Linked DNA regions of Macaca mulatta. The protein of the gene in region 2 purifies or fractionates together with the protein of the main gene of each other region. This does not show direct contact. Links are inferred from orthologs where the notes say so. Each region holds a gene or a part of one and is shown on either strand. Other genes may lie near its edges.

Region 1 (4,969 bases), on a different chromosome or scaffold from region 2:
GGTTTATGATTCTTATTTATTAAAAACAGACCAGGCCAAACATGGTGGCTCACACCTGTAATCCCAGCACTTTGGGAGGCTAAGGTAGGAGGATGGCTTGAGCCCAGGAGTTTGAGACTGGCCTGGGTAATATAGGGAGACCCCACCTCTACAGAAATAGAAAAATGTTATCCAAGTATGGTGGTATATGCCTGTGGCCTCAGCTACTTGGAAGGCTGAGGTGGGAGGACCGCTGGGGCATGGGAGGTGAAGGTTGTAGTGAGCTGTTAATCGTGTACTCCATCCTGGGTGACAGAGAGACTCCATCTCAAAAGATGCCGGGTGCGGTGGCTCATGCCTGTAATCCCAGCACTTTGGGAGGTCAAGGCAGGTGGATTGCCCGATGCCAGGAGTTCGAGACCAGCCTGGCCAACATGGAGAAACCCTGTCTCTACTAGAAACACAAAAAAATTGGCCTGTCGCCTTGGCTCACACCTGTAATCTCAGAACTCTGGGAGGCTGAGGCGGGCAGATCACGAGGTCAAGAGATCGAGACCATCCTGGCCAACACGGTGAAACCCCGTCTCTACTAAAAATACAAAAAATTAGCTGGTTGTGGTGGTAGGCGCCTGTAGTCCCAGCTACTCGGGAGGCTAAGGTAGAAGAATGGCGTGAACCCAGGAGGCAGAGCTTGCAGTGAGCCAAGATCACACCAGAGCGAGACTCGGTTAAAAAAAAAAAAAAAAATTACAAAAAATAGCTGGGTGCGGTGGTGGGCGCCTGTAATCCCAGCTACTCAGGACGCTGAGGCAGGAGAATCACTTGAACCCCAGAGGCGGAGGCTGCAGTGAGCCGAGATTGTGCCATTGCACTCTAGCCTGGACAACAACAGCGAAACTCTGTCTTTAAAAAAAAAAAAAAACTGGCCGGGCGCGGTGGCTCAAGCCTGTAATCCCAGCACTTTGGGAGGCCGAGGCGGGTGGATCACGAGGTCAGGAGATCGAGACTATCCTGGCTAACATGGTGAAACCCCGTCTCTACTAAAAATACAAAAAACTAGCCGGGCGTGGTGGCGGGCGCCTGTAGTCTCAGCTACTTGGGAGGCTGAGGCGGGAGAATGGCGTGAACCCGGGAGGCGGAGCTTGCAGTGAGCCGAGATCACGCCACTGCACTTCAGCCTGGGAGACACAGCGAGACTCCGTCTCAAAAACAAAAAACAAAAAACAAAAAAAAACCAAAAACCCAAAAAACCAACCAACCAACCAGAAAAAATCATTTACTAAACGGAGCTGCATAAATTAATCTAACTCGGCTCCAAGTCTCCATAATGGAAACACCAGAGTAAGGCAAAGAGACCCCTCCCAACTCCCTGCTCGGATGAACCTGGAAGTATGTATCCCTGTTAAATGATGAAAATTAATCTCAATTCCAAGGAAAACTCCAGGGGTTTCTATTACCTCTTGGCCCTAACAGTTTACATCACAGCTGCAGCAGACTGAGTTAGAGCTATTAGTATTTTAAGCAAAGCCCAAAGAATCAACAGGCAGGCCAGGCCAGGTGCTGTGGCTCACACCTATAATCCCAGCACTTTGGGAGGCCAAGGCAGGCAGATTACTTGAGGTCAGGAGTTCGAGACCAGCATGGCCAACATAGTGAAACCTTGCCTCTACTAATACAAAAATTAGGCGGGTATGGTGGTGCATGACTATAGTCCCAGCTACTCAGGAAGCTGAGGCAGGAGAATAGCTTGAACCTGGGAGGTGGGTGCACTCGCCACTGCACTCCAGCCTGGACAACAGAGCTAGACCCCATCTCAAAAAAACCAACCAACCAACCAACAAAAAAACCCAGGAAAACCAGAGAGGGTGTGAAGTACTAACTTTTCCCAAGCTGAAATAGGTCCCTTATCAAACCCCAATTCATACATAAAACCCTCCTGATATGGCTTGGATACACTGTTGCATCAGAGCATCAAATGGGACTTCATATGTCTGATGACACTCCGAAATGAGGCCCTTCCAGGAATGAGCCACTAAGTTTAACTTAGCTACCGCAAAGGCTGCCTACCAAGTATAAATTATCAAGTGGCTCTGATTACTCACTATGCATTTTAAAAGTAATTTCACGAGTGTTTGTCAGAGCTAATTTCTTACCCCTAGAGCAGGTAAGTCTAGGTTAGAAGTTGATTTCTTGTTTATTCCCCAAAATGTCTTCTTTCTAACCAGAATTCAATGTACCTTCAAGACTGTATACAGAAGCCACCTAAGTGACTGTCTGAAGCAAAGACCTAAAATCTTTTGTTAAGTAATAATTAACAGTTTACCTGCTAACCAGTCATGGGGTATGAGCTCTGTGCATCCTACAGCAGGGTACCCAGTTAAGAATTTTTATTTGCCTATATTTAGATTATTAAGCCTCTACATAATGTAGAGAAAATCATGTCAACTGCTTAAGCTGAGGCAGTGATGTTTTATTTCTCAAATATGGGTATGTTCTTTCCAGACAATTAGGTCATACGACCATTTCTTGGCTCACGTGATGCACCCCTTCCCCTCCTGCCCGTGTGAACTACCATGTTTTTCCCAAAGAGAAAGCGGTTATCCATTTACAAGGTCAATGAAACCAAAAATAAAAGCATCAAAAGTACAATTCTATCAGTCATGCTGCTTTGAGTGAAAACACACTCTTTAAAACAATAGCCTTCTCCTACCCAAAAAGGTCATTGTGAAACCAGAGAACCTATTCAGTGCCATTCCTCATGCTGGCCCTTGGATGGCACCATTTCACCTTTTTTTTAGATGGAGTCTTGCTCTGTCGCCCAGGCTGGAGTACAATGGCGCCATCTTGGCTCACTGCAACCTCTATCTCCCAGGTTACAGTGCTTCTCCTGCTCAGCCTCCCCAGTAGCTGGGATTACAGGCATGCGCCTCTACACCCAGCTAATTTTTCTGGTTTTTCTTGAGACGGAGTCTTGCTATGTCGCCTAGGCTGGAGTGCAGTGGAGCAATCTTGGCTCACCGTAAGCTCCGCCTCCCGGGTTCATGACATTCTCCTGCCTCAGCCTCCCAAGTAGCTGGGACTACAGGCGCCCGCCACCATGCCTGGCTAATTTTTTGTATTTTTTAGTACAGACAGGGTTTCACCGTGTTAGCCAGGATGGTCTCGATCTCCTGACCTCGTGAACCCCCTGCCTCGGCCTCCCAAAGTTCTGGGATTACGGGCGTGAGCCACCATGCCCAGCCAATTTTTTTGTATTTTTAGTAGAGACGGGGTTTCACCATGTTGGCCAGGATGGTTTTGAACTACTGATCTCATATGATCCACCCGCCTTGGCCTCCCAAAGAGATGGGATTATAGGCATGAGCCACTGTGCCCAGCCAATTTCACTGTTAAATGCAGAATATTTCTGTGGTATGTTCTATCACATCAGTTACTATAATGTAACAACAGTGAACATCTGAGAGTATGTGAAAGCAACCATTAATAAGGAACTAATCCACAGATTCCTTTAAGTGTATGTAGTTGGTTTCTTTCTCTCCAACATGAGACTGACGCATTAAGGGGACCGTGGCCTTACCTTGTAGGTGCAGTGGCTGCTGGCTGCTGCCCATAGGCTGGATAAGCAGGCTGAGTGCCATATGCAGACTGAGCTGCATAGGAGGCCTGGGTGGTGGTGACTGTAGCAGTGGTGGTATCATAAGCACCAGTGCCATACCCCTGGACAGGCTGGCTGTATGCCTGGGGGGCAGTTGGAGTAGTATAACCTAGAACAAAGGAGAGCTGCATCAGATTTCAGGCCCCCTCAAAGATCTGCCTACACACTCATTATCACAACAATTTGTAAACCACTTACTTTTAAACCATCATGATATTGAATCCCTTTAAATATTCCCCCTTCAGCAATAGTAGCAACAAACTACTATTTAAAGCGTAAGTTCTCTGAATATACCTAGTTTTTGGTAAAGTAACCGTCTCATTTGCTCTAAAACCACACCTAAGAGAAATGGCATGTCATGCTACAGAAAGCAGGGTTCCTTCTGACCCCTCTTGAACGCTGTGAATAGGAGACAAGTCTGTTTTTGCCAAGTCTGTACTAATTTTGCTAGCAGGTCTTCTTAACAAGTTTCTGAACAAACTTACACGCCCCAAAATGCCCTCAAGCAGGAAAAAAATATCCCAGAAAAAAAGGTAAAAGGCAAATGACATAGCATTTTAAAATAATTACAAAATAATGATCCAGGTACTAGTTCTAATACTAAAACCTGTAATTTGGGTAGTAATTAATCACTTTCTTTTAGTTCCAAGCACTACATCACGTGAAGAACAAGCTCAATTACTTAAGCACATGAATAATAAAGATAAACTATAAATTATAGTTGCTTAACACAGGTTAAACTTTTTTGGTTAATTATTTCAAATTAAACTTCAATACTGCTCCAAACATTTAAAAGGTAATATTTTCACATCATAAAGCAGATTCCTGCCTGGTTATCAAGTTACTCAGCTCCATTCCTCTCTTACTTACCTACCACAAGCAAAAGGCCTTTTCCTGCTCAGCAATATTGGAGGTAAACCCTAGAGTCCCTCTTTCCCTTCAGTACTTCACTAACCAGGTGTCAGAAAAGACCTGCTCTCACAGGTATGCTGCAAAGCAAGATGCACTCTCTCCCTAGCTCCTGCCTCTACCAGACCAGGCAGGATCCATGCCTTTCCCTTTGGGACCTGGGCGTGGAGCATGACCAAAACCACAAAAGTCTGTAGCTCCTAACTAGAGTCCCTTTTATTGTAAGAAGTGTTACAACCATTCCCGGTGCTGGGCTCTTCTTCCTCAAGGTCAATGGGTACAATTAAGCCATGCAATAAGAAATTTGGTTTACACTTTGGGATGCTGAGGTGGGAGGACTGCTTGAGTTCAGCAGTTAAGATACCATCCTGGGCAATACAGTGAGACCTCGCCTCTTCAAAAAATAAACAAACTTAGCTGGGCATG
Region 2 (5,756 bases):
GAGGTTTCTGATGACACCCAAGGAACAGGGGAGAAGGAGAAGAGGCTGGCAGGAGAATGGTGATTCCCTTAGCTGAGGAAGAGAAGCATAGCTGAGTGATCAGGAGAAAGCATACATGCAATTAACACTACTGCGTGTTTGTCATGTGCCGGGGGCTCTCCTGGCATTTCCTTACACCCATACCTGCCCTATTCCATGAGGAGAATCAGCTCAAGTTAACAGAGAAGGGAACTGAGGTCAGAGTGGTTGAAGAGTGCCTCCGGGGCCACCCATTGCCAATAGTGCCCAGCAAGCATGTGAAGTTGATGCTCTCATGCCCTAGCTGGCTACTTCACTTTGTGGAGGGAGGCTCTGGTCACAGTGTAAGTAGTTTTATTCTTCACTTGCTCCCTTCCTGCCCAATGGTTGGAGTATCTCTCTGTATCTTTACCTTGTGAACGAATACCTCCTCCCATCCTGGCCCACCCCCATCACTGCATCTCTCCCTTCCAAAGTATTCCTCTCCGCCCACTCCTCATCTACTCCCATTCACACATGGCATCTTGTTAGAAATAGCAAGGGTAGGGCAAACAGCAATGAATCAGAAGTGGGGGCAATCTGTGTTTCAGGGCTGACTTAACCCACCAGATGACTTTCAGCTACTGCTTGACCTCAGCCTCGGTGTCCTCAACTATAAAATGGGGATAAGAAATGAATACTAATCTTTGCTTGTCTCGCAGGTTTGTTGTGAGGATGGAATGAGATAAACAACAAAAAGGAAAAGGTGGCTACAGGATTATCCATCATAGTTGTCCATGAGAGTGGACATCTGAGCCCCCCCAGAGCAGGGACCAGGTGGTCCTCATGGGTACCTAGCTTTCCTGGTACAGAGCCGGCGCTTGATAAAGAGATGTGCAATTCAGAACTAGGACCACTACCACGCTCCGCACCACCCACTGACACACATGGAGGCGTGCTCCTGCCGCTCTCATCCACCATAAATGCAGGCAAGCCCACAACACCCCACTTTTGGAAGTGCTGCTCTAGTCCTGGCTTATTCCAAAAACAGCCAGTTCCTGGAGGGAAACCAAGTGATTGTCACGCTGCCTGGATGCCTCCGCTAGGCACGTTTGACCAAGTCTGGGTTCTACCCCTTCTGCAGGGAAGTTGCTAAGAACTGATCCGCCAACCTGGCTCACACCCCTCCAAGGAGCCCCAGCTGGGTGCGTCCCTCCCCGCACTGCCTTGGTGGCCCGCACGCGACGTGGTTTTTTGTTTGTTTGTTTTGTTGTTGTTCGCAGGAGCCCGGCCGCCCCTACTGCTGTTTTCATTGATGCCTTGAGCAGAGCTGGCATGTGCAACTGCTGAGAAGGGGGAGCGCGGAGCGGCGGGGGAAGCAAGTAAAAATAGCCTGGCGCGCGGCGCTCTGCCTGCTCCGGACGCCTTTAACCCTCGCCGAGGTTGGAAGAACGCAGCAGCCGGCGCTGCACACTGCGGAACCTGGCAGGGGTCTGCACCCAGACCCCAAGTGGCAGCGGGGGTACGGGGCAAAGGGGCCAGCCAAAACTTTTTTTTTTTAGAAAAATGAGCCGGGCGTGGGGTGAGGTGGAAATGCAGGGAGGAAGCGCCTTCTCGCTTCCAGGGCTCCAGCCACCTGGCAGAGACCGCTACGTGCCCGCTCGCTCCACATTTCACAGAAGCGCGGCCTTGAAACCCTGGGCTATTTTTAGAAACCCTTTCGGCGGGTGGGCGATCAGAGCGCGGAGGGTGAGGGGACTGGTAAGGATGGCTTTCTTCTGGGAGGCTAGCCGCCTCGCACTGCACATCATTCCGAATGTCTGCTCTCAGGTGGGGGCTGGGGAAGAGGAAGTGGTGAGGGGACGGCAGGCATGCAGGCTTTGCCCTAACTCAAGGAGACAGCACTCGCTACTGAATGCCCCACTGCTTTCAAGTCCCGGAGCGTGTTTGTTTTGAAACCGACAATTGCCAGATGCATGCTGCTTCTAGCCTCTCAGAGGATGGGGATTGATAAAGCGTTGCTGCCTACGCGGTGGGGCAGGGGTTTTAGCAGCAGAGTTAAGACCTCAAGGGAAGAAGACCAGGAAGGGTCTCTCTACCTTTTTGCATTCCGGCAAGACAGAGGGACAATCCCCGCGCCACACCCCCGTCCCCGCCCCCCGCTGCATATGGGTAACCATATGTGAAATGTGCGGCAGCCCCACCAGACACCCAGCTATTAATAGAGCCCGGGAGTTTGCTCTCTGTGTCTTTTTCCTGCCACTGAGTAAGGGATGATCTTCACACACATGCCCCACTCCGCCCCCACCTCGGCGCACCGTTTCTCCAGGAAGGTAAGGGGCCTGCCCACGCTGATCCCCTTCGTGACTACAGGTGCCCAGAGCCTACGGAATAGTCCGGTTGTTGTAATGACAGCGGGGTCAGGGCGAGGCGAGGGATCACAGCCTCGAGTCTTGGGACACAACGCCCAGCAGGGCTCTCTGCGGCTCAGGGCCAGCTGGAGAGTAGAGAAAAAGGCCGCCGAAGGCGGGGGCCAAGAACGCAATTTGCGGAGCTACAGCGACCTCCTCAAAAGCCCTTGCGGGACGGGCGGCTGCAGACCCGTTTCTCACTGCAGCCGGCGGCGCGCAGCCCCCACAGTCCGCGCAGGCTCGGCTGCGGCAGGGGCGGACGCTGTCCCTGGTGCTGAAGGTGGCCGCGGCCCGTGTGCCCTGCCGGGTTAAGCGCCCCAGAGGCGGCTCTGACATCTGACGATTGCAGACTTCTCTCTGGCCCAGATCTGGGCCGGAGGGTCTGTAGGAGGTGCTCAAGCCCTCCCGCCGGCTCGGCCCCCGCGGCCGGGAGCTCTCCGCGCTGCTGCGGGGACGGAGAGCTCGGGGACCGACTCGAGCTTGAAGGGTAAAGCTGAGGCAGCGGCAGGAGATGGTCAAGACACTGCAGGGAGCAGACCTGGCCCCAGGATTACCCACCCCAGCTCTGCACAAAGCCGGGACCCGGGAGCCCTCACGGAGCCCAAAGGAGAGGGCAGGGGAGCGCGGCTGCCCAGGGTTTGGGACTTGGGGGCAGGAGAAGGGAGCAGCGGGCGGCAGGAGAGGGTGATGGGGTGAGAGTGACTGTTTTGCATTTTCAAGAGGGAGGGGACCTGAGACATGAACTTCCCCCCCACCCCCCACCAACACACACACACACACACACGCGCGCGCACACACACACACACACACACACACACACACACACACACGGAGGCCGGCAGAAGCAAGCGGGATGAAGCTGGGGAAAGTTTGGCACTCGGTGCTGAGCGGCGGCGGCGGCGGCGCGGTGGTCCGGGTGGGCGGCGGGGTCTCCGAGAGCCCCTGCTCGCTCGCCTCCTTACCTCGGTGTTCTCGGCCGCGTTCTCCGCCATTTTCCTCCTTAGGAGCAGGCAGCGGGAGGAGTGTTTCATGCCCATAAGAGCCAGCAAGGATTTGGTGATACAGAGATAGTAGAGAAAGAGAGAGAGCTGGTGTAGCTTTAAAAGAGAGAGCGAGAGAATGGGAGAAAAAATTCCAACCCAGCCCCTCTGCTGGAGCGTCAGCCGGCACAGTCAGCCACAGTGGAGTCTGTTCTGCAGTCTCCACTTTGTTTTATTTTCCTCCTTTCTCATCTGCTCCGGATTCCTTCACACAGTTTCAAGTTCTTCTCGTGCCCCCGACCCCCCTCCCCGCCCCTCTCCACCCGCGCTGCGGGCTAAGCGCGAGGGAAGCCGCCCTGAAGGCTCCGCGGCGGCGGCGGCGGTCGCGGATCCTCTCCAGGCTGCTCGCAAAGTCCGGCCGGCCAGAGGCAGCCGCCAACTCCTCTCAACTTCTGCCGATCCGCTGGGCGAAGCAACACGCTTCCTGCGCGTCTCTCCTAGGGGCTGAGCCGGGTGAGTGGGGGCGGGGTAGGAGGTTCGGTGGAGCAGGCGGCGGCTGGGCGCAGACCGAGGGCCCCCAGCGCCCCCGGGCCCGCCCCCTCCCCTAGTCTCCGAGGGTCTTGGCCGCCTCCACTCCCTGGCGCTGCGCACAACTTGAGCGGAGACCAGGCCCGCGCTGGGGGCCCAGAGAAAGCAAGCGCCGGGCAAGGCTCTTGCAGGTTCTCAGACCCGGTGCGCGTGCTCCCACCTAGGGCGAGCTCCGGGCGAGACCGGGCCACAGTTAACTCGCACCCTCCCCACCCCGTCCCACCCCAGCTCTCCCGCTCCTCTGCCAGTTCCTGGATCCTTCCTTGGCGAATTATGGTTTGGGGAATGAAAGGGTGGGTGTCTGGATGGGGGAGGGTCCTTAACTCCTTCAACTCTAGGGGTAAGTGTGGTGTCATTCTTTATCCTTCTCTCCCATTCTCTGTACCCAAAGCCCTTGGGACTCCAAGCCCCTTTCAGGTTGAGAGGCAGGGGCAAAGGTGGCGGCCAGGGTGGCTTGGGAAAGAGGGTGGGAGAAAGTCAAATGCGAGACTGCAGTGCCCGCCGCCCCCCCAACTCCAGTCTTCCCTGGCAGCCCCCTGCCCACGCATTTCTCTTCTCCCTCCTCACCCTTCCCCCACCATCGCCAGATTTTGAAGTCCCTTTTATGGGAGAGAGGGAGGATGTCACGCACCCATCAGGATTCTCTTGATCCTTTTTTAAGGGAGTTTAGGCGGCAGCAGGGGGTGTGAATTTTTATACAATGCATTCCTGTCTTCACTTTGAGAGCTGCTTTTTCTCTGTCTTACTGGCCATCTGTCGGGCAGTGGGAGATAGAACAAAAGCGGGGGACCCCACTCTGCCTCTCCCTTTGCAGCAGGACACTCAGGCTGACTCCTTAAAGCAGCTGCACTTTTAAGCTTTCAGCCTACAAGTCAGGAACTGAGACCTAAAAGATGCTGCCTGAGCACCCGGCTGTCTTCACGTCATCTCTGTACTTGTTTGGGGAGGTCCCTCCCAAATGCCCTATTTGCTTTTATCATCACCTTTGATAACTGGGAAGTGTGAGCCTGACTGTCCTCAACTAACCCGAGTCCATTGAAGAAAAGGGCTAGAATCTTTCTCAGTACGAAATATGCCTCCATCATCTGGTCCTCGGGGAAAGAGAGGATACATTGCACTAAGTAGAGGTGAGAAGTGAGGGATAGAGGAGAGGATGAAGAATGAGAAGGATGAAAATGTAGCAAGCGGCTTGAGTTAATGAGACTGTGTGTGTGTGCATGTGTGTGTGTGAGAACTTGAATAAAAATACGGCCTTAACCTCCTTAACCTTTTCCCTTCTCAGAACACAGACCTGGGTTAGAGCTGGGGGTGAGTGCGCAGAGTCCTTGACAACACCCAGTCGTTCTTCCCGTTCACATCCTGCCAACGTGCAGAGAGTGGTAGGGAAATAAATGATGTGAATCTGGAGGATGACTTTTACCCTATTGAATTCCTTTTTCTCTAGGCATCTTCTCAGAGACAAAAGATTCTGAGAGACACCTAATCCCCTACCAAAAGTGTCTCGGTGTTTGTGCAATCAAAGGAAATCAGAAAAGAAGGGATTCTCACCGCTCTGTGGTCCAATCCTCTCATTTTACAAATAAGGACCCCAAGATTGGACAGAGGAGGACATTTGTCCATGGTCCATCAGCAAGCCGAGGACCCAGCTCCCCAGCCTCCTGACTTTCAGTCCGACACTCTGCCCCCACCCGGCACTGCTTCTGCTTGTGCATCCCTTCTGTGACTAACCAGGGAGGAGGGGAGCTGAAACAAGCTCCCACCGGAATAGGCTGCTGCCTGT

The links.
Region 1: the proteins of PRMT8 (region 2) and EWSR1 purify together in Homo sapiens (affinity purification with mass spectrometry; 3 studies listed by BioGRID and IntAct, counting the BioPlex papers as one, with this or other methods). This does not show direct contact. The link is inferred for Macaca mulatta from reciprocal best matches to the Homo sapiens genes PRMT8 and EWSR1.

Annotation. Positions count from the first base shown.
Region 1 is NC_133415.1:22,275,117-22,280,085, forward strand, and holds part of EWSR1 (RNA-binding protein EWS), read right to left. Parts: intron 3,744-4,969; coding exon 3,557-3,743; intron 1-3,556. UniProt on the Homo sapiens protein: Binds to ssRNA containing the consensus sequence 5'-AGGUAA-3'. Might normally function as a transcriptional repressor. EWS-fusion-proteins (EFPS) may play a role in the tumorigenic process.
Region 2 is NC_133416.1:4,397,702-4,403,457, reverse strand, and holds the start of PRMT8 (protein arginine N-methyltransferase 8), read right to left. Parts: upstream 3,863-5,756; 5' UTR 3,446-3,862; coding exon 3,371-3,445; intron 1-3,370. UniProt on the Homo sapiens protein: S-adenosyl-L-methionine-dependent and membrane-associated arginine methyltransferase that can both catalyze the formation of omega-N monomethylarginine (MMA) and asymmetrical dimethylarginine (aDMA) in proteins such as NIFK, myelin basic protein, histone H4, H2A and H2A/H2B dimer.